2 linked regions of the Caenorhabditis elegans genome follow. The protein of the gene in region 1 interacts with the protein of each later gene in a pairwise test. Each region holds a gene or a part of one and is shown on either strand. Other genes may lie near its edges.

Evidence for each region.
Region 2: the proteins of rpn-3 (region 1) and F19B10.1 interact in a two-hybrid assay, tested with the Caenorhabditis elegans proteins (2 studies listed by BioGRID).

The regions. Positions count from the first base shown.
Region 1 is NC_003281.10:8,445,838-8,449,909, reverse strand, and holds rpn-3 (26S proteasome non-ATPase regulatory subunit 3), read right to left. Parts: upstream 2,558-4,072; 5' UTR 2,554-2,557; coding exon 2,442-2,553; intron 2,394-2,441; coding exon 2,019-2,393; intron 1,976-2,018; coding exon 1,248-1,975; intron 1,201-1,247; coding exon 901-1,200; 3' UTR 564-900; downstream 1-563. Other genes in the region: mrpl-32 (Large ribosomal subunit protein bL32m), read right to left, coding at 1-152; hsp-110 (Heat shock protein 110), read left to right, coding at 3,021-3,127, 3,176-3,503, 3,609-3,936, 3,980-4,072. UniProt on the Caenorhabditis elegans protein: Acts as a regulatory subunit of the 26 proteasome which is involved in the ATP-dependent degradation of ubiquitinated proteins.
Region 2 is NC_003280.10:3,681,195-3,685,030, reverse strand, and holds F19B10.1 (FAM192A_Fyv6_N domain-containing protein), read right to left. Parts: upstream 1,848-3,836; 5' UTR 1,842-1,847; coding exon 1,488-1,841; intron 1,436-1,487; coding exon 1,352-1,435; intron 1,276-1,351; coding exon 1,078-1,275; intron 756-1,077; coding exon 585-755; 3' UTR 514-584; downstream 1-513.

The sequences.
Region 1 (4,072 bases):
ATTGGCAAGTTTTGTGCAGTTGATGATGGATGTGCACCGACATCGCAAGCAAATCCAAATGAAGGAGGTGGTGATCGGTGACTGAAAACTCGCATCAGCGAGTCCATCGACAGCCGCAGGTTTATTATGATCCTTGCTCGAGCCTCATTCATTCTGAAAATAATTTTAAACTTCAAAGAGGAAGAAAAGCAGCGCTATAATCGATCTCGTAGTTAAATAAATTATGTTTTTTAAATGAAAAAAAAATTAAATATCAGAGAGCAATTGACTAAAACTAATAAATTCCAAAATTGAATTCCAGTTAGTTTCAGAGAAAAATAGAGTTTAAATATTAATGGGATTTTCAGTGTTTCCTTTTTTTACTTTTGGTAATACAAAATATATTGAATAAACATAAATATAACTAAAATGATTTCAAGAAAGTTTCTGAACTAAAAGAATTAAGAAAATCGTGCTCGTAATTTCTGACGCAGTTCGTGTGCAGGTAGTGTTTGCGGACATCGTAAAGCAAGTGTTTAGACAAATTACATTATTTTTGTAAAATTTAATAGAATCGTATATTTAGATGTTGCAATACAGTATTTATTCGAAAACTCATGGATTTCTATCACGATAGAATTGAAGATTATTTTTTAGACGATCTTTCTCTTTTAACACTACTTAATTCAGAAATAAAATCGGTGAAAAATACCAATTTTAAACAAAATATATTTTAAAAAGACTTGGTGAAATATGCAATTCATCCTTATAAAATTCATTCGGGTGTGGGAAAAAAGTGGACAGGGATCTCGATTTGAAAAGAGACGAGAAAATTCAAATAAAATACACACAAAATTATTTACGGAGACAGACACGTTCCAATGCATTGTTCAGAATAAATTAAAAAAGTGAGTGATCGGTTTAAAAATCGTCATCATCTTCGTCAGCCAGCTCTTTGGCGAATTCCAACTCTTGCTGCTCGCGTTCACGAGCTTGCTCAATAGTTTCAACAGCGATCTTCTTCTTTGGTGGATATCTGAGAGCTTTGACAGCTTGATTGTGCAATTCGAGGCAGTAACGGATACGAGTATCGAAGTGAGCTTGTGGCTCCGAAGTACGATAAATATCAGCTGTTTCTGAACTTTGCATGTACCGAGGTCCATCACGAACATCAGAAGTGATAACAGCATCGATTGCTCCATCGGCAATAGCCTTCGCCACCTGCAACAATTATAATAAACATAAAACTGTCAATATAAATTACTTACAATGTATTCAGTCTCTGTCTCGTTAGTAATATACAACTTCTTGGCAATATCCTTGATATAAATTCGGGAATACGCCAAAGAAATTTGCTTGATTGCAGTCTTGATGACGTTTTGACGCAGACGAACAATCAATGTGAGAGTATCATCAGCTTCAAACTGTGTTTTGAATTGCTCCAAATTATGATTAAAACGAGCAACATCTCCATCGCGAACGCCTCGACTGAGATCCAGGTAGTGAGCAAGACATTTGCGATAAATTGGTTGACGGAACACACTTCGATCAGGAATCTCTCCTTGTAGAAGACCAATGACAACAACCCACTTCTGAACAGCTTGTTTGAAGCCAATGGCACCTTCTTGTGGAGCTTTTCGCTGAGCTTGCAAGAAATATCCAGCCGCCGAATTGTAATCGAGTTGAAGAGCCTTTATACGTCCTTGATAGTACATGTAGCGGGCAAGATCATTGTTAGATGCATTGTCTGGGAATGCAACTTTGGAGACAAGATGAGCAGCTGATTGATATTGACGGTTGATCAAGTAGCAGCGAAGAAGCCAGCAAATCAGAACGGCTTGTGACTCGGAGAAATTACGGAGAGTTGCAGTACGGAGTCGAGAGTTCAAGAATCCCTGGTGATCGAAAAGACGTCCTTCTCGTTCGTAGATCACACAGAGGAAATAAAGGGTTTTTGCTGCGAGTCCATCCAGTGTACGCCGATCAAAGTTGTAAACTGAAAATTATACGTTTTGTTTGGGTTAAAATATGTTTTTTACTTGATGTGAGTTGATTCTCGCCGAGAGCAAGAGCTTCGGTATTCTTTTTTTGAGCATAAAGATGAAGCAAAACGAGAAGACGCAAGTAGCAATCTGATTCGGGAGATGCAAACACTGGTTTGACGCCTTTTTTTGGAGACTTTGTTTTGACATTCGAAGTATCCATTGGCTGAACTTCAGTATCAGCGGCGGGTGTGTAATGCAAATACTTCAACATTCCTTCGGCGAACTGAGCATCACTGCTTAAATGTGAAGACACGAGTTTGTAAAGAACGTTGTCATTGATCTGCTTGCGAGTTTTCGGCAATACTTGCAACACGCGAGTGATCAAATGTTCTTCTCCTTTGTCGAGAGCAGCTAATTGTTCTTTGATATCTAGAAAAGAAGGCAATCAAAACTTTAGTATTTCTGTATTTCACTTACTTTCAACTGCAATTGCGTTGAGATCTTTTGCTGGCTCGGTGGCTGGGACATCTTGCTTAGCTTCATCTACCTCCATTTTTTCAACGACGGTTTCTCCAGTTTTCGGAGCCATTTCCCTTTAAAATTTGAAAATAAAACGAGTGTCACTAGAATTTGAGCTTTTTTTCACGTAAAATAAAATAAATAAATAAAAACAAACACAACAGAACGTTAATAAAATGAAAAACGATGTTTGAAAAATGATGATTTTGAAAAATAAAAAATAATGCAAGTCTGCTCTGTAGAGAATTTTACATGGGTCTCGCAACGATGTACTAGACGTTTCTCGAATATTCGGTGTGCCTTTAAACACCATTATAAGGGAGTCAGCCTGAGACACGCCCTTTTCGGTCGTTTTTCGCTGTTTCACCTTTGTTTTCTTGCTCACTTTTTTTTTATTTGCTCGAAATTTCTAGAAAAATATTTGGTTTTTGTATAAATATACTTTCAAAGCTTCTTCAACCCATTTTGTCCGTTTTTAGCTGGTCTAAACTGTCTAAACTTTTATCTTTAATTTCAGCGCTCCTGCTATAAAGAATAATGTCGGTTCTTGGATTCGACATCGGTAACCTCAACTGCTACATTGGCGTTGCACGTCAAGGAGGCATTGAAGTTATCACCAATGACTATTCTCTGCATGCCACTCCGTAAGTGTAGTATTTCATAACATGAAATCTAAATATTTATTTCTCCAGAGCTTGCGTATCTTTTGGACCAAAAGATCGATCAATGGGGGTTGCAGCTCGGCAAGCAGTGACCACGAACATCAAGAACACTGTTATTAACTTCAAGCATTTGATTGGACGAAAATTCAGTGATCCTGTTGCGCAAAGATTCATTCCATTCATCCCGTGTAAAGTGGTTAAACTTCCAAATGATGACATCGGAGTTCAAGTCAGTTATCTTGGCGAACCTCACACTTTCACCCCAGAACAAGTTCTTGCTGCCCTTCTCACGAAGCTTCGTACTATTGTGGAATCTCAACTTTCTGACGTGAAGAAAGTTTCAGATTGCGTTCTTGCTGTAAGTGTTTGTTTAATATTTCTGAATAATATCAATTTATTTTAACTATAATTTTATCGAACAATTTAGACTTGAGAAATTGTTAGACAATCGTTTTAATTTTAGGTCCCGTCCTACTTCACTGATGTTCAACGACGCGCTGTTCTCTCAGCTATTCAATATGCCGGATTGAACTCTCTTCGCATCGTCAATGAAACAACTGCAATTGCTCTAGCCTACGGAATCTACAAGCAAGATCTCCCAGAGGAAGATGCCAAATCGCGCAACGTCGTGTTCCTTGATATCGGTCATTCGTCAACACAGGCTTCATTGGTTGCTTTCAATCGTGGAAAACTTCAGATGGTTAACACATCATACGATTTGGAGTCTGGTGGTATTTGGTTCGATGCTCTTATTCGAGAGCACTTCAGAAAAGAGTTCAAGACAAAATACGGTAAGGCCCAATGAAAGTAAATTGATAATTGAAGTTATTGCAGGAATTGATGCCGCAACATCTCCTCGTCCATGGCTACGTCTCTTGGACGAATGTGAGCGTGTGAAGAAGCAAATGTCAGCAAATCAAACTCCAA
Region 2 (3,836 bases), on another chromosome or scaffold:
ATCTATCAGAATTATCTTCCTTCCTCCATCCATCGCTCCACGTCTGCAAACGCCTTCTCGTAGACTTCTGGGCTCCATTCTTCATCTTCGGAAAATTCCAGAAATTCTATGACGTCATCGTCCATTTCAATTTCAAAAGTTCCCACTTTGATCAGTTCATATTGATGAGTCACAGCGGACAGGCACATAGTAACAAAATGGAAGGTGATAAGAGAGATGTTCTGGAACGTGTGAGAAAAGTGTTCTGCTGAGAGAAAAGTCTTATCTTTGGATGGGCGGAGTCGGTAGGTATTTTGCAATACCTTAGAGTTTTATTGATTTATTGAAAGGAGGTATTTCGCAATATGAAAAAATCGATTAAATATTCGGATATTTCGCAATACACTGATATTTAAACTGAAGAAACTCTAGTTTTCTGGGCAACAACTTTTGTAAATTTTATTGAAATTTTTGTACAGCCGCTGAAAATCTTTGACTGTTGACATTTGATTTGTAACTTCAAGATTGAATTTTACAGAATTCAATGTTTCATTATGACTACATATTATGCAGTGGAATAGATTCGGGTATGAGGCTGATGATTTTCAATTATAGCTTAAGTCTAGAGGATCGTAGGCCGCATTCTTTGGAATCCTGAAGTCCGCGGGGCGGTCTCGCTGCTCCTGGGTATCCGGGAAGTAGTCCGAGTCTTGAGAGTCTTCACACTGGGTGTCTTGGAAGTCGCTTTCCGAGTCTGATGAGCTGTGGGCCGATCTCTGAAACATGTTACTTAAAGAAGATGTTGTAAGGACTATTTTTGAACTTGTGTAATTTGAAAAAGACCTTTTGAAAAGCTCATCACAAATAAATTAGTTGAACTTTTAACTAAAAAAAACCAATTTGAAATTTTTTCTGGAAATTCTTCAGTGATTTTTTGGCAATTATGAAAACAATTTGGGGCATTTGGAAAATTTGTAATTATTTTTACCGAAAATTTTCAGTCAAAAATATTTTATCGATACATTTTCTGGCACTTTTGCGAATGGTTAATAAATTTTTTTTAAACTTTGCTTCCGAATTTTTTGAAATTTCACTTACCAAGTTAAGTCCTCTCAATCTTTTGGCTGGCGATGGAGTAACCACTTCAACTGGAGGCTTTCTATTCTTCTTCGGAGTCACGTCCTGATCATCATTATTCACATTGTCCTCGGTTGGGGTCTCGTCTCCGTCGCTATCCTTATCCGAGGAGACCACAATTCTCCGTTTTCCGCGTGGCGAGGAGACTGGGATGATGCTCTGGAAATTTCAGAATTTTAATTTGAAAAAGAGTACATCTCATTTAAGCTCTTAAAAGGTTTGAAAAAATACTAACCGAAACAGTTGATACCTGGCTGTCAGTCGGGTCAGTCGGATCATCCTCAACCGGGGGAGCCTTAGGCTTTGCAGGAGAAGTTTTCTGAAAAAAAAAACCAGTTTCAATAGCATTTAATTTAAAAATATGAACTTACCCAGACAATCTTTGTCTCCTGGGAATCTTTTATGATTCTCAGCTCCCTCGATCCTCCAGCAGCCTGCATGAATTCTGTTACAAATTTCTGAACGGCAACAGTTTCTGGGGAGCATGATGGGCTTGGCTCAACAGCAGGCTTCTGGACTGGTGGAGCTGGTGGAGCAGCCACAAACTGGTCAAAAGAATTCTCATTCACAAGATCTTGAGCAGCTTCTGCTTCTGCTTTCTTGGCTCGAACTTTTGCCATCAGCTCTTCGTACGGGATGCGGATGGCTCCGGCGGGGAACTCGTCGAACGATGAGTAGCCATCTTCCTCGGCCTCCTGCTTGACTTTTCTTTCGAGTGGGTTCATGGTAGAGATCTGAAAATTTGGAAATTTATGTGAAAAGGTATGTACGGAGAGAAGAAATCCAAGAAGAAAAAAGTAAAATCAAACAAAAATTGAGGGAGTAGCAATTCAGAAGCCTAAGCTTTATAAATCTCAATTAAAATTCCTTATCTTTGCAATTAATCAATTTCGAAAAAACCGCCAAAGACGATTTACCATGTGACGCCGAAAGTCCGCAACATGGCGTCAGATTCGGTGTCTGCACATGACTGATTTACGAAGAGACAGATGGGGAATTGACATGTTGAAAAATGAAAATTGATGAGAAAAAATGGAAAAATGTTGAAGGTTAAAAATGGATGTGTTGAGTAAAATTTGGCGGCAAAAATACTTTTTTTGAAAATGAGAGAGTCAGAAGAAACGCGCAGTCAGATGTACAGTGGTCATAATTGTAAAAAATGAGAACATGGGTTTACAACTTGACTTTTGCACTGTGACGGTGCATTTATTACGGTTCAAATTCTGGGATGATTTTTGAAGATTGCAAATTTTTTGCCAAAAACTAAAACCAAAAAAAAACACTTTTTCGCTTCAAGAGAAGACCGCCTACCGTCGGCACCTACAAAAAGGCAGGACTTTATATACAAAACGGAAAATTCAGAAAAAAAATGTCAAGTGGGGTCTCTTTGCCGACAGTAGCTTAATTTTTTTGTTGTTTTTCGGTTTTCTTTGAAGTTTTGAGATGAATAAATCCTTTTGGTATAATAAATGTACCAAAAACTTTGAATTTGGAAATTTGGGGGTTCTAAGAAATGGGTGTACTGAAAGTATAATTAGACTAAAATTGAGTACTTTGTTTCAGTTTTTAGTTAACAATTTAGCAATATGAGCTGTTAAAGTTGACAAAAAAATCACCAGATTTACACAAATGTCTTACATTTTCAGGTAATAATTTTTTAATTGTTTATAGTAGTATAACGACAAAACACTTACTTAACAAATTTCAATTTTTCTGATTTTTTCGTCAGAAATTCTCTTTTTCAAATTCTTGAGCAAATTGAAATTTTTTTTTGAAAAAACTGCAACCAGGAATATCTAAAAGCAAACAAAACTTCCATAAAAATTTCTGACAAGAAGCGTAGTAAAACGGTATTGAAATGTATGCAAACACAAAAAATTAGAAAAAAATGGATTGCCAAACAGAAATTTACGTCATATTTGAATACTAAATATGACCCAAAAGAGCAGAGCGAAAAACGATCTGCACTGACCATAAAATTGGAAGAGGTACCGCCTCCCGCTAGCCTTCTGTTACGTGTTGCGCAATAAAAAGAGTGGTATATGGACATTACGTATGTCTAGGAAAAACAACTAACTTGATCGATAGAGTAAGGAAGATATGTATAAGCAAAAAATGACAAGGAAGTTGATGAGCCAAGTTTTTCAAAGTTTTGAAAATTCCTAATCTGAAATTGGATGGAAAAATGAAGAGTCAGTCTAGGCCAAAATTTCAGTAAAAATTATAGTTAATTATAGTGTGCAGCAGAGGTGTGCGGCAAATTTGCCAAATTTGCCAGATTTTGCCAATTTGCCGCACACCCCTGGTGGACCGGTGTTTCCAAGCCATATTTTTGTTGGAAATTCCAATTTTAAAAAATTAAAACGTTAAAATTCCAGAACTAGGGCAATTTCGAATTTCTACGTGACCTCTGCCAACAGCATGGACAAACGTGGAAGCTTGTGTCCAGTTCCACACATTACTTTGCCACGGATCCCTTTTGTTAGTTTTCTTCAGATTATTTTTGAATCTTCTATCTTCTTCTAGTTTCTTTTTCGTAATTGTTTATATATCCAGCTGTGCAGAAATTGTTTAGAAGAGCCGACGTACAGTCCGTCTGCTGCCTACTTTACAACCGAAGAGTCCATCAGTGCCGCGGGAGGAGGTGACCGTAATGTTTTTTTTGTTGGCGGGAAAATGCTCCATCTGGTGTTGGCCCAAACATTTTCTGTCAGTTTTCC